Lonchura striata: one gene and its partner. The protein of the gene in region 2 purifies or fractionates together with the protein of the main gene of each other region. This does not show direct contact. Links are inferred from orthologs where the notes say so. Each region holds a gene or a part of one and is shown on either strand. Other genes may lie near its edges. The genes, in order: SIRT5 and GLS.

What was found.
Region 1: the proteins of GLS (region 2) and SIRT5 purify together in Homo sapiens (affinity purification with western blotting; 3 studies listed by BioGRID and IntAct, with this or other methods). This does not show direct contact. The link is inferred for Lonchura striata from reciprocal best matches to the Homo sapiens genes GLS and SIRT5.

Annotation. Positions count from the first base shown.
Region 1 is NC_134603.1:88,961,956-88,976,859, reverse strand, and holds the start of SIRT5 (NAD-dependent protein deacylase sirtuin-5, mitochondrial), read right to left. Parts: upstream 6,928-14,904; 5' UTR 6,756-6,927; intron 6,523-6,755; 5' UTR 6,499-6,522; coding exon 6,390-6,498; intron 4,333-6,389; coding exon 4,199-4,332; intron 2,727-4,198; coding exon 2,501-2,726; intron 1,104-2,500; coding exon 1,016-1,103; intron 633-1,015; coding exon 579-632; intron 1-578. Other genes in the region: kinesin-like protein KIF13A, read right to left, coding at 11,122-11,408, 12,233-13,331. UniProt on the Homo sapiens protein: NAD-dependent lysine demalonylase, desuccinylase and deglutarylase that specifically removes malonyl, succinyl and glutaryl groups on target proteins.
Region 2 is NC_134610.1:30,519,610-30,534,624, forward strand, and holds the start of GLS (glutaminase kidney isoform, mitochondrial), read right to left. Parts: upstream 6,024-15,015; coding exon 5,677-6,023; intron 1-5,676. UniProt on the Homo sapiens protein: Catalyzes the first reaction in the primary pathway for the renal catabolism of glutamine. Plays a role in maintaining acid-base homeostasis. Regulates the levels of the neurotransmitter glutamate, the main excitatory neurotransmitter in the brain.

The DNA of each region.
Region 1 (14,904 bases), on a different chromosome or scaffold from region 2:
TTACTCAGCTCCTAAAATGCATGAAAGTTAACACTTGGCCCCCTTTAACAAACTGGTTGACAGGGTTTTAAGGAGAAAATGAACCAAAAGACAGAAGCATCACGTTAGCCTCTTTTTCCTTAGAAATTGGATAAAAAATGTGTTTTTTTCCATCTGCAACTAGCTAAGGCAAAGCTTCAGGCAGCGTAAAAAAGCATTGTGGCTGTGAGGGGAGCCCAGCACAGTATCCCAGACTAACAGTGGGTGGCACCTGCAAAGTAACAAAACATTTATGCTGTAGCACTCATTCTCTTGCTGCAATTCTCCTACTACTTCACTTACAAACCCCAGGAATTTGGGCATGTTTCATCTTGGTGCACAAGTACACAAACATGCGATGCCTTTAGCACCGTGGTAACTTCTACACGGTCCTTGTCTGATGCCCCAGTAACTTTAGACTCAGTTTCCTGGGACAGAGTTCCAGAGTTTTTTGTCTCCTTTGTGGAATGTCCTTCCAAAACAACGTGAATAGTAACATGAAGCTTTGAGATGCACAAAGCATGAAGAGGTAACAGCCCAACAAAGTGGTCCATACATACTGAGGAAGGTCTTCAACTGGAATTGCAGCATCTTCTGTGTCAGGATCTGGAGCCCTGTAGTTACAAAATGCAAGGACATGTCCAGCTGTACAAAAGGTATTTTACGTATTAATAAAAAATTTAACATTCTCTAAAAGCCTTCATAATCTCTAAAGCACACCCTCCAAAGAATCTGCAACTTCAGCCAACTTTAACACCTACTACAATCCTAAAATACCATACACAAGGCAAGCAGGAATTTGTCCAGAATTATCCTGGAGCTGAGCAACTGTAATAAGCTGGCCAAGACTGCCAAAGGCACAACAATTATTTATGTAACTATCTAATGGTCTGGTAAAATGTAAAAGGAAAAAAAATCCTAAAAATTCTTTGTGTATATGCCTGGCCCATCTCCCTGCTCACTTCCTTTTTTAATGGCAAAAGAAAGAATGGATTACCCCTTCCCAGCCAATGCGGGGCAGATTGGGCTCTTGTAATTCGCAGCCACGTTTCCACAGCTGGTGCACCGAGTTTTAAATAAACTACCTGTAACACACAAAGAGGAAACATCAGGGATGAAGCTCTGAGGTGTGGCTGTGCAGGCAAGTGGTTGTGTTTATCCTGGGCAGCTTTTATTTACAAACCTTGAAGGCTGCACCTTGTGGGTAACTTAAAAAAGGAATGCAACAGCAAAGTTCCACTATGTCACCTTGTTCTGCCTCAGGACATGAGTAATACACAGTCCCGTAACATATTTTGCAGGAAAATCATAATTTAAAATATCACTGAGGGGGATGATTTCTGTTTATTGGTTTTCCTCTTACATCAGAAACAATTTCTTAAAACAAAATACGCTGGTCAACACCTTTTTTGTTTGATGCGAAACTCCTCTCCCAAAACTTTTGTAGCATTACTAACGTGCCATCAAGATAGGCAATATAGCCAAGAGCTAAAAATTGTGTCCATTTTGTAAGGAATGCAAATAACCAAAATTAAACTGTTGCCAAGGCTTCATCATTTGGTCCACAACTGCAAAACAGCTTGTGCAGGTTTCAGGATTCCTGTGCCCAAAGCATGGAAGTGGTGGTGGGAAACTCCATTTACACCTTTAGTGATACTCGAGTTAAAAAGCATCATAGTGCTGGAGGACCAGGATGGATCTTTGTCCTGGGAGACTTCCACCCTGTGGCAGGGCCTGAGGAGTGGAGAAATGAGTGGAGTCACCTCCAAGGATGGAGAAGAGCTTCCAGACCCTCTTTCTCTCCATACCTGTACATCTCCTCAGATCCCAAACCCCCACTGATGCCCAGGTGCTGCATCTGCATGTGCTCTTCTGGCACTTTGTGGGAGTAAGGAATGCCACTGACTACAGGGAAGAGAAGGGGAGGGCCATTGGCTGCAGGAAAGAAAGGTAAGGGAATCTCAATTGTTTCCAGTCCCTTTGTCCTCCTGTAGCCAAGGACTGCACAAGTGAGGACAGGACAGAGCAGGACAGAGGAGAAGCACCAGGGCTGATGAAGCCAGGCTTCCAATACACCCTTTGTTGGTGGCAGTCTGACACCACCACTACCACACAGTGGAATTACTGGGGATTTTTTTCCCCTTTTCTAAGTGAAATCACCCAGGTGTGACAGCCACATGCATTCAAGCAGATCGGTGGAAAACTGCAAGCAAAAAGGGAGAACCAGTTCCTGTGTACTGTCAGAATACATTAAAAACAGAAAGATGAGATTCTGTGATCCTAAAGGTAAGGAACAAAGAGAAGATATGAAGTACCTGAAACAACTTCTAGAAGAGAACAGGGTGTTATTGCAAATAACTTTATGCAAGTTATTGTAATTATAAGACAAAATTCTTTTCTCTTTGTATTTATCTCCCTTTCCCTTCTTCCCACTCCCCACCCCAGGTTTCCTGGCCTATGGCAGACGTGACCCAACTCTTACCGTGGATTTCTAAGAGCTGCTTGGTGCCTGCCTTCCTGTGCAGCTCATCAATGTTCTGAGTGATGACCACAACACTCCTTCCTTGCTTGCTGAGACGCTTCTCACACTCTGCAATGGCAATGTGGGCTGGATTGGGATGTTTGCTCAGCATCACTTCCCGCCGGTAGTGGTAGAATTCCCACACACGGGAAGGGTTTCGTGCAAAAGCCCCTGGAGTAGCCAGCTCCTGCAAAAGACATAACAGTCGTCCTACAACGAAAGAAGAATCCCTTCCCCAGCTGAAGCCTGCTGGATTTCTGCCATTTATACTGCTGCCTGCATCACAAGGTCATCAAAAGCAGATTACCTATAACCACGTGCAGTTGATAAGAATATTGTCCACAGCCCTTACAAGGGTGACACGTTAAAGTGTCAGACCAAAAGAGCAAATAACTTACAGAAATAGTGTGGTATGTGGGTTTACACTACACTCCAACCATACTCTGTGCTGACCTACCAAACTATTAGGAGCTTAGCACAAAGCAAGATGAGATACTCCAATGCACACCCACAACTCTCTTTTCCACAGCAGCCACAAAACACAGCATCATGTGAATATATTTCCTTTGCTAGGAATTTCTTTTCTGCTTTAATTTAAGTGTTAACACAAGCCAAATTATATCCATTGTCAAAACCAAAGTCTAACATCTTGTATTCTGTATGCAGGTAAAATTGAACCTGCTTTTCACACTAACTTTAATTTTGCCTTCTCTTTCTCAAAAACGAGGTGCAGCTCAGTCCAGTAACTCAGTGCACAATTCTGCTGACACAGAAACTAAATGCACGTTTCTGATGCAGCAGGACCAAACATTTAAACACACACATGCTTTATTTGAATTGATGATCACTTGAAAGCAAAAAACTCATCTTTAGATTCAAACCAGTTTCAAAAATTAATGTCTCTGACACTTTTTTAGCTACATCAGGATCTTTCAGGAATGCTGTAATTAAAAACCACAAAGAAAGCAGGTGTGATTGCAGCATTTGGGGTAGCAGGTAGTGACAGCAGAACAGCTGCTGAAACACCTGCAGCACCAGCAGGATGAGAGTCATGAAGCCCCCACAGAGCTCACATTGTTGGTGCCTTCAGCTGTAGTCCCAGTGCCTGCTCCCACCTCCTCTCCCACCCCTGTGGCTCTCAGTGCTGGCAAGATCATGACAGCAAGAGAGACAGCCTGTGGGAGAATTAAAGAACCTGCCCTAAAATAAAGCAAGTCCTAAAGCATTTTTAAAGGGTGTTCTGAGACACCAAAATTAAAAGAAAACAGCCAGTCTCTTTTGTCAGTTCTTCCTTTGGTATTTTGGTTTGTTTTAAATGCTAAAGAGTTTAAAACAGGAAAGGCCCCACACAGTAGGAAAACAGTGAGGGTGTCAAAAGATGAGCAAAAAGCTGAACTGCAGGAAAACAAGGATGGTTTAAAGACCCAGAGCTGCCTGCTAGAATGTTGTTTTTCCCAAGCAGCTGATAAACTGAAGGACAGAAGCAGATCCCCAAGAGCACAGAGAAGAGCTGCAGGGGCAGCTGTAGGGAGAGCTCTGTCCTTGCTGCACTGGATGGGACAATATCCACCCTCTTCCTCCACCTGTTCCTGACCCTCCATGCTCACCTGTGTGACGGACACAGAGGTGGCCCTAGAGGCATGGGCCACCAGTACCTACCTGGGCTTGCCACTTTCTCCAGAAGCCTCCAGCCCCTCTGAAGGTGGGGACACCGCTCTCGGCACTGACCCCGGCTCCGGTGATGATGGCGATGTGCTTGGCTTTGGCAAACACCTCTCGGAAATCAGCCATGTCTGTGCCAGGGCAGGGAAACGAGAAAACAAGGAGCTGTTCAGGCGCTCACACTCTCACCTAAGAGGCCACACTCACACTTCCATACACACCTCCCATGACTTTAATTTTGGAATAACAGTTGGTTCCTGAACTTCTCTATGTTGTAATTTAAAGGGCAGTTTCTGGAGATTCTCAAAATATGTGTCTGAGCAGGCTCAGTAGGGCAGGATGTGCTAAACATTATTATAGTCAATACTGGAAAGGCAGAGTCTTTAATTAAAACCCCACATTAGATGCTACCCCAATAACAACTGTTGGCACCACCACCCAGGAAGAGTTTGCTTCCCAATTGTTACTAAAATCTTGAGATAAAAAAAAATACATTTGTTTTGTTGTTGTTTTTGTTTGTTTTTTTTCTCCATGAAGTATCACCTTCAAAATTAAGGTAATTTGGGAAAATGTGCTTTCTTTTGAGGCATTTTTTCTGTTTTCTAGATTTGCAACTGTATTTTATATTTTTTAATGTGTTATTCCCACCACTTTCCCCTGCATGGTAGTTTGGGAAAAAGATTGAAAATTTCCTTTGCCTTTTTATGCGAGTCAAGACAAAATTAAAGAGGAACAGGTTAGCTGCAGACAGACAAGAAAAATATATTTTGCAGTTTACCTCAGATATGAATTTTAAAGCAACACAGGTTAGAATCACAAAATAAATGGCTGAGGTGGGAATGGACCTCTGGAGATTGTCTTGTTCAACCCCCTCTCCTTAAGCAGGGTCAGCCAGAGCAGACTGCTCTGGACAGTGTTCTGTGGGGTGGCTTTTGGTATGGACACGGACAGAGACTCCATAACCTTCCTGCACAATTCAATCCATTGTTTGGCCACCTCACAGCAGACAAACACCATGGAGTGTTTTTATGCATTGCCCTGGAGCCATCATTGCCACAAGGGCTCATCACTGGCTTAAGGCCAACGTGGTGCCCACCAGATCCCCAGGGACATTCCTGCCCAGCTGGTCACCCAAGCCTGTCCTGGGTCTATTTCTTCCCAGGGGCAGGACCCTCCGAGTACCAGCCACTCCTCCCAGCTTCATATTATGTGGAAACTTGCCCAGGATACACTCCAATCTATTGTCCAGATCATTAATGAAGGTGTTTAACAACAGTGACCTCAGTATGGATTCCCTATGGTGTCCCATGAGTGGGCAGCCTCCAGCTTTGAGCTGCTCGCCACAACCCTAATCCTCACAATTTACTAGGTGGTCTTTCAGATAGAAATCAAAACTACCCCCTGCCCCCTATACACACAAAAGCCCACCCAAAGACAGGTAAGTTCCTGTAGGGAGAAAGAGCCATTGGAGAGGTCCCAAAGACCCACAGTACAGAGCCCCTGGACTGGGCAGAGAACACTCCTATTCTGATGCCCCACCTGCTGCTGCAAACCAAACCTCACAAGCCCTTGATGTGTAAAGCTCAGGCCAAAAGCCCTCCCAGACAGGTGTCTGGCAGCAGCCAAATCCTGATGCTCAAGGCAGCAGAAAAAGCAAGTTTGCCTTGACCACCTGACATTAGGGAGTAGCTGTTGTACCTGTGTGCAGTTTTCAAGTTAAGGCACATTGTCAAATTGAAAAACAAAACCAAAACACCCCCAAACAGGTGAAAAGAGGTCAGCCTTAACTCCCAGTCTGAACAGGGCTCCTGGGGTTACCCAGCTCCTGAACTGTCACAAATACTCAAGGCCCATTCTTGTACAAAGAAATGAGGAATTAGTTTTATTACTCATTAGCATTATGAAAGGGAAATGCAATTAACCACTGCATACTTATGTGCATAAATTATAAACATTAAAAAGGTGTTTATGTTGTAACCATGATGACTGTAACAGTTTATGGAACTATACAGAATACAGTCGTAGAAAGGTAATTTTACTAGTCTGGGAGACAAATAAAGCAACCTCAACTGTTTTAAACATTTTTAATTAAGCCATGGATTTCACCTAGCACACAACACCTTCTAGCACTTCAAATCCACCTTAAAAAGCTGTCCGGGGTGCTAAAGCAAACAAATACACGCCTTACTTGAACTAGGACGGGCCATTTCCAAGCCAAACTTCTTTGAAGACGAGGCCTTAAGTCCACAACGCACTTGGGGAACCAGCCTTCTAGCGGCAGACTGGAACAGACACATCGGGATCCCTCGGAAGTGTTTCACCTGGGGAGAAATAAATCAAACGTCAGCGGCCCAGGCAGGGTGCGCATTTCTGCCAGCTCCCCGTGAGGGGCTCTCCTTGGAGAACCAGCTGCGAACACGGAATTCCTCCTGCACCTGCAGAACACGGAGCCATCCCCCAGCCCGGACCCTGGGGCCGGGGTCACCGCTTTTGCTCAGAACGGGGCACATCAGCCCCGCTCCACAGCGGGGCTTTCGGCCGACGTTCAACTTACGCCACGCTCCCGAGCTGCGCTGCTAACCCGAGGCGGCTCCCAGGACCCGCCGGCATGGTAAGAGAAAGGGGAAAGGCGAGGGACGGACCCGCGGGGGCGGCGAGCCTACGTGCCGCTGCCGGCCCGCAGAAGGGCGAAGGGGCAGCAAGGGCGGGCGGGGCCGCCGTGCGGGAGGCGGGACCTCCGTGCGGGGAGGCGGGACTGCCGTGAGGGGAAAGCGGGACCGCCGTGAGAGGAGGCGGGACTGCCGTGAGGGGAGGCGGGGCCGCCGTGAGGGGAAAGCGGGACCTCCGTGCGGGGAGGCGGGACTGCCGTGCGGGAGGCGGGACCTCCGTGCGGGGAGGCGGGATTGCCGTGAGGGGAGGCGGGGCCGCCGTGAGGGGAAAGCGAGACCGCCGTGAGGGGAGGCGGGGCCGCTGTGAGGGGAGGCGGGGCCGCCGTGAGGGGAAAGCGGGACCGCTGTGAGGGGAGGCGGGGCCGCCGTGAGGGGAAAGCGGGACCTCCGTGAGGGGAGGCGGGACTGCCGTGAGGGGAGGCGGGGCCGCCGTGAGGGGAGGCGGGGCCGCCGTGAGGGGAGGCGGGGCCGCCGTGAGGGGAGGCGGGGCCGCCGTGAGGGGAGGCGGGGCCGCCGTGAGGGGAGGCGGGGCCGCGGGCCTCACTCGCGGCTCCGCCCGCCTCACGCCAGCCCGCCGCGCCCCGCCCCGGGCGGCGCCTCGCCCCGGGCCTGCGGCGCCGCACGTCCCGCCCGCACTCCTGGGGGAAAGGCCGCGGCGTTACGGGATGGTGGATGGATGCACTGGAGGCAGCCGCGTGTCGCTCCCCGGCGTTGCGCTGTCCCTGCGCCTTGCCGGAGCGTATCAGCTGGAATGAGACGCAAATAGGTCAGGGAAGCTGGGTGGCTTTCCAGCGTCATTCCTCTCTGCGGTCCGCCCGTGGCCGTTCGCAGTTCACGCATGAGAACTCCGCTGCATTTGGACAGCACACAGTTTATTTATTTATTTTTTAATGAGGAAACACTGTTTTTAGCATGTTTTGGTGCATAAAGAAGGCAGCGCCTGCTCTCATCCAGCCGCCTCCTCCCCACCCTTCCCCAACAACCTTAATCATTGCGGTCCTTTTCAGACAGAGGTTTTGCCACATTTTCCCTTCCCTTTGGATTCCGTAAATGACCAGCTAAGCAGATGAAGAGGCCCCCAAAACACGTACCCAGAGAGGGGAAAGGCTGAAAGCAAGCCCCGAGCTCTTTCGAGTCTGCCGGCTGTCCAGCGCCGGGGGCAGCTCCGGTTCCCCACTGCCGCCGGCACAGGGCGAGTTACCTGAGCGAGCTCGCCCGAGCGCAGGGCAGGAACAGCCCTGCTGCTCCCAGGGGCTGGCAGCCGACACCCCCCGTTACACTGCTCCACGGCACTCCGTGCTGTTTACAGAGGACCGGCGCTTCGTACTCTGCCTCCAGCTGCAAACTCGAGGGAAGCCTTTGGTGGGGGAATGCTGACAGCGAGCGCTGCTGACTAAACGCTTGTGCTGGTGCTTGGTGGGCTGTCACAGCTGCTCCCCGAGCCCTCCGTGTCTCCAGGAAAGTAAGCGTGCTCGGAAAAACAGCGCGTCATAAACTCAGAAAACAAGCTGAAAGCCAGCGTGATCTTACTTAGCATTCTAACGACCCTGATGTCAAAATCCATTAATTCTGTGCAGACTGGGAAAACAGGATGGCAGATTTGTTGAATGAGGGATTGGCTGTGCATAACGTTATTCATTATCATAATTGGTGTTTTGTTTTTTTTTTTTTTAATTGACATCTTGCTACAGATTGTACACTGTACAGACTGTCTAATAAGCTACACTGTGCTTATTAGGCAGTGTATTTTAGCTGCTACTTAATCTTAAAAAAAAAAAGCAATTTGCAGTTGCACTATCACCACAATTTTCTTCCACTTTGAATCCAAAGTTCAAACCAGCAGAATCCTAGTCTAACATCGCTAACAAAAAAAAAAAAAAAGATTCTGTTTCTGTACTAGAATTTTGAGGAGCACATCAACCAAAGAGCTTTCATCTTCCTATCACATTGTTGCACCTGTCAGCTGTGCTCCTAATTTTACATCAACCCAGGTCAGGGCATGTTCACTTGCAAGGTTTGCAAAAGTACAGGTTTTTTAATAAAACCAGAATTCACCATGGCATAGTTTTTGTGAAATGGGTACAGAAGGACACAAGGCTGGCTTGCTTTCGTCTCTTTGGCATATACAGAATGCCTACTCCAAGAGCACAATTATCCCAGTGTTTCCAAAGCCTGAAACAATGAATAGCCCAGATGATGCTGGCTGATTTGCTAACCTGGTGTAACTACTGAATGTGTGCCGTAAGAAAATGGCCACACTGATTTTCCAAATTGTTTGTACTGATCCTGGAAAAATATTTTAATGCCAATGTGTAAGTAGATTTCCTAAAATGTTTATAAAAATATTAAAGTGACATCTAAACTTAACTTCAAGATGCTGGCATGTTTGCCATTGATACCTGGCAGTATTCCACAATCATCTGTGCCCAATAAAATAATTCTGCATAAAATCTTTTTCTATTACAGTAGTTTTCCTTCAGCAGCAGTGTCATTAATGCAGTGAGAGCAACTCAAGGTGGACACCAGAAGCATGAACTGTTCTGCAAAGATACACATTTCAAAATCAATTAACACTTAAGAATCCTGTCTTAGAAGGGACAAAAGCCATGGCAAGGGCAAGTACACTGAACTTCACAGCCCCTCCTTTCACTGCCTCCTCCAGCACATTGCCCTCCCAGATGCCAGCGGCTGGGGCCTTTATATATTTAGCAATGATCCTCTCTTATCTGTCTTCCAAGAACTTGTCCCATCTCCCCTTGACCATCGGGATTCTGTTCTCTGGCAGGAGTTCTCCACCTCTGCTCCCTCTCCTGGGAAGGACAGGGAAAGCAGAAGGTGAGGAATGTGTATTCAAAGGGGCTGCTCTTCTCTGAGGCTCAGTGGTAAGAGAGGTTCATACCCTCTAGTCTTCCACTCCAACATCACTAGCCTTCAGCATTTTTACCAAGTCCTTTGCATCTGAGCAGCACCAGCTAGAAACAGCTCCCTCTTTGAGCATTAAGCCTAATTGTACCGAACACAAGTAACACATTTTTTTTAAATCCCAAGTAAACAGTCTGTATTCTAACACACAACAGGTCTGCACCAATTAAATACAGTATGGCAATATATAAATTACAGGTCTTTACAGTAAATAGTAAAATACGAGAGTCCGCTTATTGTACACAACAATCAAAGAACAGCAGCTTTTCAGTAAGGTCCCAGGTATCTCAATCATTCACTTGCTAAGGAACAAAGAAAAGATACAGCAGGCCATTCACTTCACTCATTTTTTACCATGTTGCTTTACAAATATCCAGAACACTTGTACAGGCATCTACAGTATCTACATGTGGAACAACCTTCTTAGGAATTCATAAGCACCAGACATAAATCCCTCCATCATTTCCATTATTAAAATAAACTTTACAGATTAAAATTACTTTAGCAGGTTCTATTTCATCTTGATAATAAACCAGCAAGTAACAAGTGCAAAGTCTGCAGTCATGATCCATTTACTGCTTCTTTATTTCCCATTTCTCCCCACCCCGCACCCAAAAAAACTAAAACCCCTAAAAAACCCAGAATGTTGTCCTCTCACACCCTTGGAGTAATACTGTTTCTGCAGTCAAACTGCCCAGCTGGCTTTTGCTAACATGTGAAATGCCAGACTCATAGCTTCAGGCATCATCAGTCATTCCAATGCCAAGTCAGCACAGTGGCAGGCCTCAAGGAAGACAAAACATATGAAGCAGTTGGATATTTCAGTGTGCTTAAACATGGAAGGCTGCATGGTGCCCAGTGACTGAAAGGAATATGGCACCAAGTTACCAGTTAAAACATTTACAATAGAAAGATATAAACAGCAAATATGTCAGTCTAAAACAAGTTCTTTGGTAATTAAGAACAGCGGTTGGGTCTTTTTTCCAAAATGGATTCACATCCTGTTTTTTCCTCAATAAAATATCTTTTGTTGTTTAAAATATATCTCCCAAGTTGTTGTGTAACAAATAGTCCAGTACCTCAGTTATCTACAATCAGCTTTAACTGTGTTTTAGTGTGCAGCCATATCTGCCTACTGGCAGACAATCTATAGATACACATTCATATATATATATAATATATATATTATTTATAAAAAATTAGAGAATTAAGTCAAGGACTCTAGAGAATACACATTCCATATGGACAGGTTAAAATGTACAATAGCTTCAAAAATCCATAAAGTTTTCTACACAGTGACGCGTGTAGTAAGTGCAAAAATACTGTGGTTTAGTTAATCCAAGATTTCCTGTTTTCCTGTTTCCTAGAAAAAGCAGAAGCTGCTGCATCTCCTGAATGGCAGAGGACGTCTCCTCCTGTCTTGGGAGTGGCTGATGAGCCTTGAAGCACAGAACTCTTCCGTTTCTCTGAACTGGAAGGTGCCTGAGAACGGGAAGTGCTACTCCATTTCCTTGCGGGAGCTGGTGCTTTGCTGAGGCGCCCGGGACGAACGAAAACACCGTGTCGTGGTTTGCAGTGGAAGTACTCTCTGCCTTTCACAATTCCATCGTGCTTCCCTTCAATGGAAAGAAATGCACAGGATTAAATGCTGGTGCTGCCATTAACACATACAATTGAGGCGATGAAGTGTGAATAGCTTTCATTTTCTGTCAAATAGTCAAGATTGCTCCTGCTGAGTGACAGAGCCAGATGCTTACCATACACTAGGGAGAACAAAACTTGGAAAGGAAGGCTTAAAATGTGACCAAAAAGATGATTTTCTAAAATATTGCTTTGTTAACTAATAGTTTAAAAAGCCAAGCATGTGTTCATTTTGCAAAATAAACTTTGCTTGCAAAGCTCAAAATTTAGCTGGAGACAAATAAGTGATATTACCTGTTAAACTACTAAAAACATATTTTTAAATGACCTGAACCATTTCTGTAGAAGTTTGTTAACACTTGCAGAGCACTGACTTTTTCTGACCCCTCTGAAATGAAGTAACAGAAAGCCTGTGTTCTGGAATTCATCTTTCCCCAGTGGAAAACAATAGATCTCTAAAAGTCACTGACAGCAAACCTATCTGACAAGTGATGCACACTGCTAGTACTGTTCATGAATGTGTGCACACTTATTAAAAAAACATTGTTTCTCTGATCTGTAAAAACAGATGGGTACCAACAGGGAACTACCACAACATGCAAAAGCAGAGCTTTTAGACAATTAAAAATGGATCAGAGCATCTCTACAACCAGAAAGCTGTGATTTGGGTGTATCAGATACCAAGCTTCCTGAAACTGGAGGTACTTCCCATGACTGAACTGGAAGTAATGTTTGTACTATGACTTTAAAAATTGGTCATACTAGCTGCATAGATAACCCAGAACACATTTAGTCTTACCCAGCTGAACATTGAGCTCAACTCCAACCCATATTCCAGCTGAAAAATCCACCGTTCCAACGTATCTCACTGTGCCCATTTTATTACTTCCAACACAGACTTGCTCGCCCACAGCCACCCAGCTTGGCAAGATGTGGGCTTGATCTGCAGAAGCACCTTCTTCACAATCAGAACCATCCAAATGGTCCTTCATAATAAAATCGTCCATGGAAGCATCGGGATAAGTCTCAGGGTCTGAAGGGTCTTTCACCAGTCCAGAACAAAAAGGGCTTTCCACAGCATCCGCAAGCCAGCCGTCAGCTGGTGTTGCTGCAGAGCTCTGCTGGCCTGTGCATGGGCTCTGACCCTTGCCAGGGCCTCGGGGTGACTCCGAGGCGCTCGCTCCATTAGAGGACAGAAGGGAACACAACTGTGGAGCTGCTGAATGGTCAAAGTCCTTCCCATCTTCAACACCCATGAATTCAGTGAAGGAGTGATCTTCCAGAACGTCCATCGTGTGCTCAACTGTCACCTCGCATGCTGAAAATTCGATGGTGTTTTTGCCATCCAAGGAACTTAGAGCTGAGAGGGATCCAGCTCTGGGTAGCTGCTGAGAGTCTCTGTCAGCGGCACTGAATGACAGTGGTACTTGCTCTGTTAAGGCACTGTTTCCTTTCAGTGGTACCACAGGTAACTTCTCTCTTGATAACTCCTTTTCTGATTCTCGACATTCCTTGTTCAAAGAAGATTTTAAATCATGTTCAAGGGATGATCCCGAGGGATCACTAGAGTCCAGCTCCTTGGAGTGACTGGCTAGCTGGTCTGTACTATCACTACAGTGAACAAGCATGTCAGACAGGGTGGCATTAGAGGCACTGTGGGAAAAGTAGCCACTAGTGATGCTGCTAGTGGTAGGACTGCGGGACACCTCTTTCTCAAGAACACGTGAGCTCATGAAGTCTGATTTAGAGGAAAACCACTCCCTGTTCTCTAGGCTAGCATTGTAAATACTGAAGTCAGCAAACTCCTCCGGTACGTAAGGGCGGAAATTTTGAAAATTTTGTGGACTTATCAGTTTCTTATTAATGGCCTCCAACTCATTGTCTTCCTCCTCAGAGTCCTGCAAATGAGAAGAGGAATTAGGATTAGGAACCTGTGACAGTGAGGTTTCCAAAATAAACTAACCATCCTTGATTTTATCTTTCTGAGCATAGAGAAATATATACCTTTAATATTCTTTATTCTCATTGAAAAGAGCTGCTGGAAATGTATCCTATCTACACTGAGCTACTCAATTTTTAGAAAATAAATTCTAAATAGTTCAGGAAATATAAACCAATATTTTATATTGAAAATTATTATTTTGATACACAAACTTTTTTCCCCATGATTTAGACTAATTAAACACACTGAAGGTATTTTATAGGGTTAATTCACTACCTAACAAGATAAACACAAATATGAAGGGTAAAGGCCTTAAGAAGTCCCTGCTGCAATACAGGTTATTAAAAACTTTGGGATGATTAACAACCTTGCACAGTGGGATTTTCTATTAACCTGATATCAGCAAGGCTAAATAATTTTGCTTACCCCAGGTGAACATGTTCAGGATGTTTGAATATACAAGCAAAAAGATAAAATATTACAGCAGATCTTCAAGGAAGCATTTCTATGCACACGTGTTTGTGTTTGGAGGGAAATAGGTGACACTAATCACCCTAATAGAATTTGGAGATGCCTCCCTGATTTTCTCCTTGGTGATGTGTGGGGATCCACCCTGACCAGACCACAGATGTGGCTTTCACAGACTCCATCTGAAGCTGAGAACTTCAGTCTGTAAAGATGAATCTGAGAAGGACTCTGTCAACATGGTAGGGCTGCTCCTCCAAGATAAAATATTGCAGGCAGGACTCCACATGAATGCTTTTTTAAGTACTTCCTTTTTTATATACATCTGTGTCTTCATTTACACATAGATATGCAGGTATAAACATAGGTATATGTATACTCATACATATATAGTAAAAATTGTTAGTTTACAGGAAATGTCTATTAGAAATAATTTTATTTTAGGAAAAATGAAAACTGCTGAAGTCCTTTAAAGAAACTGTAGCCCCCATTATTTCTCAGTTCCTTTATCTGCATCACAGATTTCAAATTCTGATCAAGGCAGATCCTGTGTGATATCTGAAGCACCTGGATATTTTCAGACACCTGCTGTGATTCACCAATGTAAAAGGAAAAGCAGAACAGTTAACCAGATGACCAGAGAATACCAACACATCAGTTTAAACATCCTCTTGAAAATATTTCCTCACTTCAAAATAGCCAAGACTGCTCAAAATAACTTTGTATAAGATTTCCTCAGTTTGCCCATGTCAGAATAATCACAGAATTGTTTGGATTGGAAGGCACCTCTTGAGGCCAATTAGCCCAATCTCCCCTCTGCTCAAGCTGGGTCACCCAGAGCAGGTTGTCCAAGACAGTGTCCAATTGGGTGAGTTTTGAGATCTCTACAACCTTTCTGCACAACTCATTTCCCTCACAGCAGAAAAAGTGTATTCTTGTTCTATCTTGTGGTCATATGGAATCTCATGTGTTTTGATTTGCCTCATGTCCTATCACTGGACACTGCTGAAAAGACTCTGCCTTGGCCCATCAGGTGTTTTTATATATTGATAAAATGCCCCTGT
Region 2 (15,015 bases):
TAATTTTACAGCTGTTCCAAGTATGGAATTCTGTCTGAAAAGATGCAGAAAAATACTTCAGCCATTTAAGCAAGATTTTACCTGCCTCTTCATAAGATTTTAATCTATTAAAGAGATGTGTACCTTTGACACAGAAAATCTCTCAACGTGGTTTTCCTATCTTTCACATCTGCTGTTGTTCAATATGGGTCACTCAGCCTAATTAAACAACGGGGCTGCACAGACAACCAAAGCAAAGAGGATGACATTTAATACATTTACAGAAAATTGCTCCTTGTCAAATAGTCCATCTTTTGGTAAAGTTTATCAGCTAAATAGGGGTGAAAAGGCTTGCTCTGCAGTTTATCAGATCAGTGATGTCAGTAACTAATGTTTGCTTAACCTAAAAGATGTGTTTTGGCACTGTGAACACACTTAGCAAGATAGTTCTGTTCCACACATGCAAAAAGCTGTTTTTCAGGTCAGGGGACTTGCAATTTTCACAGTCAAATTAAGTGGAAATTCCAGTTCACCTATTTCATGAATAATGACTTTTGATATTTCTTTACCTTCTTGAAAAAAAAAAATACTATTAAACAACTAGACTTCTTTGGCAGTATACTAATCTGTGTACTACAATACTGGTGGACTGTTTTTTAAAATACAAAGAAAAACCAACATAGGAATTCCAAGCACAAGGATTTTGCAATCCTTCTTTCAGTTCCTCCTTTTCCATCAGTACAATGTCTACACCAGATTCTGGGGTGGGGGGACTTCATTTTAACAGATGCTGAATTTCTAGAATAAAAACAAGATTAAATTTCGAATAATGTGGAAGATTTGGAAGATTCTTACTCAGTACTTCAGGACAGAACTGCCAAAATGTAGAACAGGATTTACAGAACAACAAATGATATTAAAATATGATATTGCTAATAATAGTTTCAGGTGTTATTAACAAATATTACACCAGTCATAAAAATGAGGTTACAATTACTGTCACAAAACAATGGTCCCTCAGGAACCATTGAAGATCTTCATCAATGATAATGACAGTGAGACTGAATGAAGCCTCAGCAAGTCTGCCAATGACACCAAGCTGAGTGGTGCAGGTGACAAGCCTGAGGGATGGGCCAATATCCAGAGGGACCTGGACACACTCAAGAAGCTTGTTCAGGTGCTCGTGAAGGTCAGCAAGATAAAGTGCAGGGTTCTACACCCGGGCCATGTAACTCCTGGAATCAACACTGCCTGGGGGAAGAACAGATGAAGAGCAGTCCTGCCGAGAAGGATTTGTGGGTGCAGGTGGAGGAGAGACTGGACACGACCCAGGCACAGGCACTTGGAGCCAAATGTTTCCTGGGCTGCATCCAGAGCAGTGTGGACAGCAGGTGAAGGGAGAGGATTCTCCCCTTTGCTCCGCTCTGCTGAGACCCCACAGAGAGTACTACACTCAGCTCTGGGGCCCTCAGCACAGGAATGACACCAGCCCACTGCAGCAGGTCTGGAGGAAGCCACCAAGATGGCCAGAGGGATGAGCACCTCCAGCCTAAGAGGTAAGGCTCAAAGAACTAGGGTTGCTCAGTCTGGAGAAGAGGAGGGTCCTGGGAGACCTCACTGCAGCCCTTCAGTACCTACAGTGAGTCTATAAGAGATGGGGACAGGCTTTTAGCAGGGTCGCAATGGGACAAGGCGTAATGGTTTTCCACTAAAAGAGGGCAACTTTATATTTGATATAATGAAGAAATTTTATGGTGAGGGTGGTGAAATGCTGGAAGAGGCTGCCCAGTGAAGTGGTAAATGCCCCACCCCTGGAAACATTCAAGGTCAGATTGCATGAGGCTCACAGCAGCCTGATCTGCTTGAAGATGTCCCTGCTCATTGCAGAGGGGGGTTTGGACTAAGTGACCTTTAAATGGTCTTTTCCAATCCAAACTATTTTGGGATTCTGTGGAAGCTACAAGTCACAGTCAGCAGCCACTCTGACTAAGACAGGCACCTTGAAGAAGTCACCATGCTACAGATGCTGTATATCTTGGTTGTATCTCCAACACTGGTCCAGTCAGTAAGTAACTGCTTTCTGTCCACTCCTATAGTGAGACACTGGTCCCATAACAGAGGTGGGCAGCTATTCACCCAGGAACTACCAAGGTGCAAGAGCAAACTACATATTTATAAACTCAGACCAAAGATAAACATGTTTAGTAGCTAACAAAGTGCTTCTGGTGAGAAAAGAAAAAACAAAACCTCTAGCTTCAAAACCTTGGCCTCTACAGAAGTTATGAAGGGTCTAATGAAAGTGCACGCCTGTTTCTGGCATCTCTGAATATTGTATCCACACTCCATCAAAAGTATCAGCAAAATTAAACACTGCCTGGTTACTTGTTATTCCTCTGTTATCTGGCTTGCAAAAGCAAATTTTCAGAATTCATCCCTGCCCTTAAAAAAGGGCACTACCACTTCCTTGTCATAAAAAAAAAAAAAAAACACTTCCTGTAACTGTTTGATGATATTCTATATACTAGCATCTAGCACTATTGCAACCTAGCTAAAAAAGTGAGCAATTTAGCTTTCAAAAGTTAGGATCACTTACGTTTTGCTCTTCCCTCTCACCTTAATCAAGGCCTTTTTAATTTAGAAATAGCTTCTACTAAGATAAACTGTTTCATCCCTTAACTGTCCAGTACAAGATGCAAGAGGAACTCTTACACTGAAAGTAAAAGCAAGTGAAGAAGAGTTACATGGAAAGCAGGAATAAAGCATATAAAATATTACACACATTTATAACTTAGGAGTGTATTAGGCTGCTGTTTTTTAGTAACGCAGGCATGAGCATAGATACCATTGTGTTTTAATCCTGTTAATTAAATTTACTGGTCTGTGACCACTCTCAGTTTAAACTCAATTATTCTTCCTTTAAGTTTCAGTTGGATACACAGTGTGAAGGCTGGATAGCAAGGATAAGGAGATAGTGGAAGATGTTAGGGAAAAAATGCACCAGAGGATCTGGTTATGCAATGGGATACTAGTTATTTCATCAGCCACAGACCTCAAAATTTATTCTCACTATGAAAAATTGAACTGTGCTCAATTTCTGTAGTGTTTGCACAGAACATTTTAGGCTTTTACTCACAGCTCCTACTCTGTACACAAGGAGTGTTAGAAAAGCAAATCAACAGGAAAACCTTACTGCTGTCTTTTGACATAATGGGTTATTTCAGTATACCAGAACCATGACCTTATATTCAAATAGGAAAAAAAATAGCCACCAACACTAACTAAAAAAGAAAAAGGCTATTGCCAGTTGAGTCCACAAACCATTTGTCAAACACCACTCAAATGTTAAGCCACTATGCATGGCAAAGTGCTGGAATCAGCAGAATACAGACTGCACAGACTTAGCCCAGTTGTCAATGCAGTTCAGACACCTGTCTTTTGAAGAACCTCACTTTTCTACTCAACCCTGTACTCTGTATTAATATACCAATGATTTCCACATGGGATGTACCATTTACAAATGCTTGAAGGAAGATTATCAGAGTCCTGCTTCAAGAAAAGTAAGAATGAAAGTATCCAGCAGCCTGACTAATGCACCACCAAGAATTCCTGCACAACCTGAAATTAAAGAAAGTTTCTAGCTTTTTCTGTGTTTGTAACTTCATGCTAGATGTTTTACAGCATTTCTCCCTGTTCATTTTGCAGTAAGATTTAAAGAACAATCATCTAACTTTCAAACACATCCTTTTGTCAAAAGCCAAAAATTATTAAAAGTCTTTAACTGGTAGCTTTACCACACATGTTAGAAATTAAATAATTTCCCTAATCGATGCTAGCTGTAGGAAGCTAATAACAGCTCAGTTTAAGAAAATGTCACCTCTTCAATAAATCACTTTTGCAATACCCTCAAAAACCATCACAGCTGTCGTGCTGTTTTTTTCCAAAGTTTTTAACGTCTTTGTGTATTTCTGCCTGAAAACAGAATTGCAGTCTTTATAAATCACAACTATTTGACTATAGAAGAATACTTTTTTTGTTCCAAAACATTATATAGAGAGCTAATTCAAGGAGGAGACTTCGCATTTGTTGAATAGCATAAATTTAAAAATAATACCCATCATGATCGTGTATTATATTGCATACAGTTACATAACCTGACGGGCATGCATTTTTTAAGGCATCTGACAGCAGAAGTAACTGGTGATGCCTTTAAAGCAGGCTGTACCCCACTAAAGCAGGCTGAGTAGCTAACGCATCTGGGGGGAAAAGGCAGAGAAGAACAAGGTCACAGCCTCTCTCCCCACCTGCCATATTGAAATTCATGCTAAAATAAACCCTACAAACCACAACTCAAAAGCAGAACTATTAACAAGCTAAGGGCTGAAGCCTTCCTGACTGGCTTTGTAGAATCATTTTCAAACTAATAGAGACTTTGCTCAGCATCAAAACAAGGTATTCCTTTCTCAGCCCTGATTCTTCTATCATTTGCTCTTTTCATCTAGGTAATAAGCATAGCAAAGCCTGGGAAAACAGCTTGGGTTTAATTTCAATTATGCCACCCCATAATCAGTGCACAGGGTGCCTACAAGAATACCATGGGGCACATTTCAAACATATACAAAGCAGAAGTCTTCATGAGGCTTGTAGTTAAACTGTCAAACTTCTGGTAAAAGATTATTTGAGATTCTAAATGTACCCAGGTTCAAAAAGCCTAGCAGGGGTGGTAGGAAATGAATACTCAAGACTTGCATAATGCTGAAGACTAACAGAGAAGAATGCTCTGCCAAACTATTTACCTCATCATTATACCCAACCCCCCCGTATCCACTAACCAGTCTGATACACCTGTCTCTGATGTTTTGTGGGTTCTTTTTTTTTAAGAAGTATTTCAGTTTCTGAATGAAGGAGTATTAACTTCATTGAAATATACAGCCTTATCCTTCTACTACGTGCACACACCTATGTCACTAAGGGACAAGTAAGGACCTCGGCACAGGCACGCATCCTGCAGCACCTATAAACACCTGTATTCACCACGTACGGATGGCAGTGTGTGCCTCTGGCTGCACTAGATTACAGAATTGCTAGGGCTGGAAGGGATCTCTGGATATCACCCAGTCCGCAGTGCCCCTGCCAAGGCTGGGTCACCCCAGGGCAGGTTACACAGGAACGCATCCGTGTGGATACAGAGGCGGAGAAGACAGCACTGCAAAACTTCCAAGGCAGCACTACGCACCATGCACACTGCCTTTAATAATTAATGCGAGATGACACAGCTTTCGCTTCTCTTAAGAAATATTTTTAGCCAAGTGGAAGCGCTACCAGAGCCACCCTAGCACCTGCGCCGGGCCTCCCCACGGAGGGACGCCCGGGGGTGCGGGGGAAGCCCGAGGCGCTGCCCGGCCCCACGCCGCGGTGAGCGGAGCCCCGGGGGGCGCACACGGCCCCCGCCACGCGGCTGCGCCTCCCTCCCGCTCCGAGCCGCCGGCCGGGCCCGCGGCACCCGGGGAGCGGCCGGGAAGGGCCCCGGCAGCCCCGGGATCCCCGCACCTGCCGGGGGAGCGCCCGCCCGCCCGCCCGGCCCGGCCCGGCCCGGCCCGGCCCGGCCCCTTCCGCAGGCACCACGCGTGCGGGGGAGAGGCGGCGCTCACATGGCGCCTCCGCATCATCCCCCGCGCCCGCCGCCCCCTCCACACTCACTTCTCCCCGCCGCCGCCTACGGCCACCTCCTTGCCGCCGCCGCCGCCGTGGTTATTGTTGTGGCCGCTGTCGGCGGGGGTCTCGCCGGGAGTCGGCGACGGCGCCTGCGCCCCCTTCCCCGGCTCCTCCAAGGCTCCCTCCGAGCGGGTGCACAGACCCCGCGCTGACGGCAGCGCCGCCGGGCCGCGGCGGGCGGCGGGCGGGCTAGCGCCGAGAGCGGCGAGCGGCGGCTGGAGGCGCCGGGTCCCGGCGGCGGGTGCCGGGGCCGGGGCCCCGCCGCCGGCCGCCCCCGGCGGGCCGAGCAGCAGCAGCTCCCGCAGCAGCGCCGAGCGCCACAGCCGCATCATCCTGCGCCACCGCGCCGACTGCCCGCCGCGCCGCCCGGCCGCGCCTCTCGCGCCGCGCCGCGCCCGCCCCCCGCACCGCTCCATTGGCCGAGCCCGCCTAACTGTCAGGCGTGCGGCGCGCCCATTGGCTAGAGGGAACGTCACTCAGGGCCGCCGCCACGCCCCCGGCGCGGGCCGCGTCTCCCCGCGGGGCCGCTGGTGTGGCGCGCGGCCGGCGGGGCGGGAGCAGCAGCGCCCCCGGCGGGCGGAGCCGGAGCGCTGAGGGGCGCGGGGCGCCGCCTCCCTCCCTCATTCCTTCGCTCCGTCCTTCCTTTCCTCCCTTCCTCCTTCCCTCCCTCGCTCCGCGACGTGTAAAGGCGTTGGGAGCGGGCTGGGCTGCGGCGGTGTCGGGTTCAGGTTGCCATGGATATGGCCATTTTTAAAAACTGTATGTTTTTGATTACGAGGTGCACCGCCTCTGCCGTGCCGGCAGGATCACAGAATATGCCGAGTGGGAAGGGATCTTCGAATCCAACTCCTGGCCCTGCACAGGACGGCCCAAGAACCTCACCCTGTGCCTGAGAGCCTTGTCCGAACCCTTGCTGAACTCTTGTCAGGCTGGCGCTGTGACCGCTGCCCTGGGGAGCCTGTTCTATTGTCCGACCATCCTTCGTGAAACAAAAGATTCTCCTGGTACCCAGCCTAAACCTCTGCCATAACTGCACTGGTCACCACGGAGAAGAGAGAAGGATGCACAGGGCCTGCGTCACCCACCAGGCACCCTAGGAAAGGGCTCAGGGAACAGGAACCTCTTGGCAATGCCCTTGGAAGGAATGGTTGTTTCCACATTTTTTGGGTCAAACGCTTCCGGCAAGGAGCAGAGCTACTAAGGTGTTTCCAAGTATTTTCAATAAAAGGGTAACTGCATGGCTCATTGCTAAAACTTACAGTGGAGGCTGTAAGTCTTGGTCAAATGTCTGAAGTTTTTGGGTTTTGAGAAAAATAAACCCAACACAAACCCACAAAAAGCAACCACCTGGCTGCCTAGGTGATCTGGGTGTGGCCATTCTTCATGTTCACATCATCAAACATTTAATCAGAGTGTGGAAATTTTGCTGCTGCTCACCTCCAGTCCCAGTCTGGGAGCCACCGACCCATGGTTGTGAAGTCTTAAAAGCAAAAGTGTAGCAGAAAATAACTGCAGGGCTTCAGCACAAAGTGTAAATGTCACTCTTTTTATACACTTAAGCTTCTGTCACAGCTGTCAGGATATAGCATTTTAGAAGTCACAGATTTTGCAGTTACTTGGTGAAACTTTACTCACATCACCAACTGCTAAATTTGTCCTAGATGAGTATAAATCTATATCAGCAAATTTTATCCATTATGGGTAAGAGTAGAAGATGAGATTTCCTGTTATCCTACTTCCTCAGTAATGCCAACATGCAAACCAGTTTTTTAATTGTCCCTAGTCTTCTCAGCTTAGGAATCTTAATTTTCAGAGCAAAAATGTAAATACTTATGGAGCTGTGAGTTTATTACTGCTAAATTTCCTTGTGAACAATTTCCCCATGCATTGAGGTTTATTTCATCTGGTATGTTTATTATGTTTGGCAGAGGTGGGGGTGGAAAAGCTGCAATTCTGAGTTAAAATGATCTTGCTACACACTTTCTTTGAAATGTTTTACACTGAAGATACTGATATTTTGTTTTCCACCGCCCCCCAGATTGAAAGTTTCAGCTGTCTAGGTATAGTAACTTCCTCGTAAAGACCCCCATAAAACAGAGAAGGTTCTGTTACCCATTTTTCATGCACTCTGAGATAACTACATATAGACATGGAGTTTAGTCTTGCCTTGTGCTTCTACTTACCCGGCAGCACAAATACCCACAGGATTTCCCTATGCTAATAAATTGTCACAACAGCCATGAGGGTTTTTGGAAGAAGATATAAAGTTAGCTGATAATCTGTGCCTATAAAATGAGCCTCCACACATCAATGGTTTTGCTTCCCACTGATCAAGGAAACTTGAAATACCAGTGTGGGATGTGTAATCCTGTGCTGCAGTAACTTCACATACAAAAATGCAAAGTACCTGCATTTCTCACATACTTATTACGTTACCTATTATATTTCCTGGAACTGATTTTGGATTTCCATTTGCTAAGTCCTTTTTGGCAAACCAATACTGCCTCTTTTATCCTGCTGCCCAATAATAATATTTCTCATTTTAAAAATTGTGTTATGTAAAATGCTTTAAAGATAGAAGTCTCTCAAACACCTCTTCCATTTTTTTTACTGAGCCTGCTGTTCTAAGACCAAAGACTGTCTCTTCCAGACTGTGCATTTGGTCACTAATTGAACATAGTTCTGCAGACACTACAAGATTCAGAATTTTAGTGTCAAGGTTGTTTGTCAGTGTGACAGCTGCATTTTTTTCTAAGCCAGCTGTTTAGCCACAACCTGGTGCAAAAACTAGTCTAATTCATTTCTTATATTGTAGGGGGAGAAGAAGTGGAAGAATGAAAAATGTAATTATCTGGACCTTTCCTTTTAGTGCTCTGGTTTCTGTTCAGAACATTTCAGATAAGGTGGTGGGAAGAAAAAGAAAAAGCTACTGCATTCACAAAAGTATTTCCCTCTCAAAACAGTACCCCATGATACTTGACCTTACAGGAACTCTTTAATTTTACTCACTTCATTTTTTTTTCTTTTTATTTTGTATGCTATTGCCTTATTCCTGTATTTAACCTTTTAGTTAATACTACCTTCACATTACTATATTAGTCATCTCCCACTGCAAGTATTCTTCATTAAAGCTTTTCTTAAAACTCACTTAAAGAAATTGATCCTCGACTTCTCTCCCTGGAAATTCCCCAGTCTGTGTTTTTAACTGGTGAGGGCAGAAAATGCAAGTTGCTCTGTGTGTGGAACTACAAATACACAGCTTGGGAACAATGCAAAATGATAAATATAGTTTCAGATCCAGAAAGTTCAAGGGCAATAGTGACTCATTCGCTATTCTGAGAACTTTTGCTGCATAATTCAGGCCATCACTCCTTGCTCCTACTATGACTAAGCCTGAGACGTTTCACCCACTGATTCTCTCCCATCCTCCCACTGGCACAGGTATACCAGAGAGTCTTCATCTAAAGACAGATTTTTTTTTTTTTCAATTTAAAATAAGAAATGTAGTAAAAACGGCATCAAAACCACCACCATTTGCTTGGGAAAAGCATTATACATTTAAACCTGTTAAACTGACACTGATTTTTGTATTGATCCAGATGTTAGACTGGGCTTTCCCATATCCCAGCAAAACCCCCTTTAGATTTCTCCTTTGAACACAGTGATATTACTTGTCTCTTTGGAAAGAGAAGACAAGCCATCTGCTCTGCCATTCTGTGTTTCACACAGTATCCCAAGAGAAACAGAAAATTACAAAATGGTTTCCACACAGAGCAAAGAAATTTGAAATTAAAATTCCCCATAGCTTTTATTTTGAGTTGGTTACACAACCAGCAGTAACCATAAGCCAATTATTCTCTTTTTAATTTCCACAACTATACATGTTCTTTTGTAAAACAAAAATTATTTTAATTTAAAACAACAAGGTTCTTCAGGAAAGAAAAAAAAAGAGGGTCTTTTAAAATAGGCATTATTTTAAAGTATTTTCCTTAAGCTGTATTGTAGCAAAATATTCTTTGTATAGCTCTCTAAAAATAATCCATATTTCAGAGGTTTTCCTTTCTAAAAGGGGCATAGCAGCATTAATCTCCTAGGAGAAAGGGCTCTGAAAAGCAGGTGCAAAGAGGTCTTCCCAGTTCAAGCACATACACTGATAACAGCTTTCAGGAAGGTTAAATCCTCCCATCAGATCAGCAGGGCAGATCTCAGATAAGCAGCAGAAATTAAGGATTATCTTGACTACGACATGAACTGTTTACTTTACTATTTTAAATGGTTATGTTGGCTCCATTTCATTTGTTAGGGGGTAATGCTTTCCAGAAGAGAACTAAGGACCAGAGACAACTATTATCTAGTCAAGTATTTCTACCCATTCTAGCAGCAGTTCCTAAGAATACTCTTTTCTTTTGTGAGGCTAACTTGCTGCACCTTTGGGTAACATTTCTATATTGATTCAAGGGAAAGGTGCTCAGTCACAAGAAACATTCCCCGTTGGATTGTACAGAGGATACAGAACAGTCTCCTCTGACCATAGAAGCATAAGTAGTAAATAGTTACTATTTAATCTAAGAAAATGAATGTTCAAATATTTGGGCATCGTAGCTCAGAAATCCAACAAGGAGGGAAAACATGCAGAGGATTTATTTAACTGGAAAGTAATGGCTGAGGGAGTGACCTCAAGTGAAAAACAATAAAAATAAAATCAAAAATGCCCTCCCTGCATAGCGCATCGATGAGTCAATAGCTCAGTTCATATCACTCACATTCCAGGCAAACAGAGACAGTGAGGGATTAATTCAAAGGGAAGAATATTTGGAGGATTTTCTGAGACTGTCATGGAAAAAGCCTACAAGGGCCTAGGACATTTCTAGCGTGGTTAGCAGACAGCATATGATGTGTTCTAGCATACATGGCAAGAGCAAGCAAATTACAGAAGCAGAGTTATTGAGGATGACCTGCAAAGACTGACACTATTTTTTCCCATTACTCTGTTAGTTAACCTGCTTCCTTTCATCTTGTTTGGTGAGGGCACCATTGTTCCTCATGCTCATTATCAGTCATAGTGTTTTTCAGATGTAAGATTCTTCACACCTCAGAACATCCACCTTGAGAAGCTAACAGAAAAGCATTCCTTGCTGCATCCAGCACACTGCATGTTATTTGCTCTACAATATATCTAAATCATAGTGCTACATACCCCATGCATTCCACCCACAGTCACATTTAATGCTTAATTCTGGTGAGATCTCTTAAACTACAGCCTTGATATTTACAGAGGCCAGTGAGTGTGAGCAAATTTAAATCTTCTGTTTGTATTCCCAGTCAAATATCAGCCTAGGTAACCTTGTGCAAGCAAAATGAAACAAGTGACAACGTCATCCAACTGCCCCATCATATACCTGAGATGAGCACGCATGAGGGAGCTCAGGGGAGCCCATAGACTCATGTCTTGCAGCTCTTGAGAGCAGACATGGAAAATTGGTGGCAGCATTTGGTGGAGGTCAGAGCACTTGGGCTGACCACCAGCTGGCTTGTCATGTATAAAGCTCCACAGCACTGGGCAGTCCCTGGCTGATCATTAACACCTTAGTTATTAGGCCCCTAGAGGGCCTTAAGAAAAGATGGGGAAGGAGTTTTGACAAAGGAACACAGAGCCAGGACAAGAGGAAGAACTTCAAACGGACAGAGAACAGGTTTAGATCAGATACTAGGAAGAAATTCTTCATTTGTGATGACAAGGCCTTGGCACAGGTTGCCCAGAGAAGCTGTGGCTGCCACATCCCTTGAAGTGTTCAAGGCCAGGTTGGATGGGGCTTGGAGCAGCCTGGTCTAGTGAAAGATAGCCCTCTCCATAGAAGGGTTTGGAATGAGATGATCTTTATGGTCCCTTCCAACCCAAACCCATTCCATGATCTGCATGTGCCACCTCAGCCCTGAAGTGATGGAGAAGCCAGTGTGTGCTGCATCCTCCCCTTGTGCTAAGCTGGCTGCTTTCAGCTCTGAATTTCAGCACATTAAAAAGACCCTTGGAGAGATGCAAGCTTTCAGGCCAAAGCATTAAAGAGCATCACATTAAATTGTCCCATGAAGGAAAAGCCCTGGTTTTGCCCTTTCACAAATACCTGTGGCCATGTAGAGCCTTAAACTTGACAAAACATCCAGTCTTAAGCAGAGAAAACAAGGTAAAATTAAGCAAGCAAAACAAGCAGTCAGACCGTAATAGAAACTGTCTCATCATAAGTGGTAGTCCAAATAGTTTAAAAGTCTTCCACTTCCAGAAGACTCCTCTGGAGTATATAGAAACCACTCTGATTGGGTACAGGGTATAATGCCAGCATCAACAAAATCCCACTACCTCTGAAATGGCAAATTGATCAGCAAAACCACATGTTTTTTTCTGCCCTGATATTTTTGGCACCCTCTCATTTCTGTTGCTGCACTGAGGGAAGAGCAATGTACACTTCAGGTGACTGAGTCCTCAGCCTTCCTTTGCAACTGCAGTGAGTGGCCAGTCTCCTTCCAGGCTGCAAGAGTGTTTACGTTTCTGTTTGCTTAAAAACAAAAGATCCCATAAAGACTAATGAGAAAACAGACAAGTTTTTTAGTTCTTGAAGGATGTAACCTTGAAAGATTTCCATCCTTCCCCCACATCTAATTCTCTCTTTATAAACATGTAACTTTCTTAGGGAGGTGAAAGGGAGAAAGACTAGCAGCACTTCCAGTAGTACACAGTGTACCCTCATACTCCAAGGGTATTTAATGTTTATCCAAGGACTTTTGAACAGTTCCACAACAGTAGGCCAGGGAACCGCAGATCTGCAAAACTGAATCCCAAGATTTAAAAAGTAGAGCAATGAAGGTTTTAAAATAGTCTGGATTAAGTACATGTTTTTCCTAATAACTAGTCTGCTGCTTAAACATGTGGATGTTCATTCTAAACTCCAAGAAGAAAAACATTGAAAAATTTTACATGGTATTTTTGGTGTGTTTGAAACACTTGCGGAAGCCAAAGATTCGTGCTTTGGTAACATTAACTGCTGTCACAGAACTTCTTCACCTCATCTTTAACTGCTTCATAAGGCTCCATCTTTTCAGACAGGGCTTGAAACAAATCTCACAGAAGTCAGGAGCTGATGGGAAAACATACAAGACAAGAAACTCTAGCTTTTAAATAGTATGTTTAGCTCTCAGCATAATTTTCATAGCAGTAATAGACCAAATTAATTGGATTTTTATCTCAACTGACTGGGTTGTCATGTGGAAATTGGTGTGTTTCTAACATGACATGAACTCTGGTGGCAACATCACTCATTTCCATGCACGTGCCATGGTTTGTCACTCCCTCACAGTTGTCCTGAGACAGCTATTGAGCTGTGAAACAGAACTGAAACAAGCTGGGTTACAAATTGACAGGTCATCATTCTCTGCTTTGAGAAAGAGGAGTTTCACATGATAAGGCTGTGAAACATGTCTTGAGGTGTTTTAACTTAGCATGCTGTAGAAGGGCTCAAAGGAAGAGCGGGAGCCAAGAAATGCTGATAATTTTGTTTCTCTCTGTACACTTGGCCTTGTACTACAGGAAAGGGATGTTGTCAGATAACAGACATCACAGCCTTCCTGTCACAGGCAGTTTTTAAACTATGACCACGTGGCTTGGATATTTGGGATATTTAGATAAAGTTTCACCTGGTTCTTTGTTCAACAAATGGAGATTTGGGCAATTCTAGACACCCCTATAATAAAGCATAAGGCAAAACCAGTTGTCTAGCTGAACAATATGATTATATTGATATAAGGAAATACAAATTCTGGAGTTACAAGAACATCTATTCTGCCATATCATTGCATAGAAAGTCACCTTGTAATACGCTACACTAAGCACCCAAGACATCATGGGCCTAATTTGAGAACAAATCTAATAGGCCCTACTGTGGTCCATTCAATAGAAATTTTTGTTTTGTTTTCAGGCTGTTTGCTATATGTGCTGTGTTTGACTAAAGTCTCATTGGATATTTGAGGATCGGCTCTGCTAAAACAGAGTCAGAGAACAGTGGCATAGTTGAGCAGCCCAGCTGTGGTAGGGAGGATATATTCAGCTAAAAATGCTTTAAGACAACAAATAAAAAGTGAACTATATTGAGTATTTTGGGCCAGAAGGCATGTAGAACAGATACATGTAATTATTCACATAATTATGGTTAGGAAAACATCATCCAGACACCTATCTGTTTCCTCCCCAGTACTGACTTACTGTATCATGACTTCAGCAGTTACAAACTCTCAGGATAGGAAGACACATGCCCTATCAAGTCATATTTAATCAAGAAGTTACATTTGTTTCATTTCTTGCACTTTCATTATGTGTGTTTTCATGCAATTCTTCTAGCCAGTTTATCTCACCTTGCACATTTCTGCAAATTTTTCTTCTGGTTATCTACCTTTTAAGTTGTATTTCTGTCTTTTGATTGATATATTCTAACAGGGAAAGCATAGTCTAAAAGGAAAAAAAAATAACCTAAATAGTGATTCATTTGTTCTGCTTTGCCTGTTAGTTACATTGTTTGATATGTGAACATGTTTTCTTAACAGTAAAGGTGAAATCCAGAGTTGAAAAAGCACAAGCAGTAGAATGTATTGCCTTTTTACACAGAAGTATGATTGAAGAGAAAGGTAACTGCTTAGCAGGGTTTACTGAACCTGCCTTGGTGTAAAGCCAAATAAATTCCACCCTTTGAAATAAGAAGTAATTCTTAAACTACGAGTAGTTGTTAATGATTGCTAGAACTGGAACTAATAAATGAAACCACATGCTAGTGAGTAATAATCTTCTAGAAACAACCTGAATATAAAGATTTTACCCTTTATTTAACAGAGAAGAATGAAAAGGTTGATTTACGTCTCAGTACTAATTTGAGTAACAAGAACCATTAACTTAGGAAGGTAATGAGCTGAAACATCCACCAGCTCAGTCCAATGACCCTGTCTTCAGGACAAGCAGAAGGATCTGTGTGATAGAATGCTGCTGATCACTTCCTGAGGATTGGCCAGGCTCTGGATGCCTGGCACACCCCACCTGAATGGCATTGAGTCTGGCTCAGGATAAGTGCTTGTATGGGAAAAGAAAACTGTGAGGAACAGTGCTCTTCCCACATAGTAGTTCTGAAAAAAGGTTGGTAGCCTTTTTTTGTATCCCCAAATAGATTGCAGGGAATTGGCTTCAAAGCTGCCAGATAAACATTACAAGGAGGAGAATAAGAATGAGCACCTTTAATAGCATTACAGCTCTGCTTTTCTGCCAGCTTATTTCTGTCTCTTGCATATTTC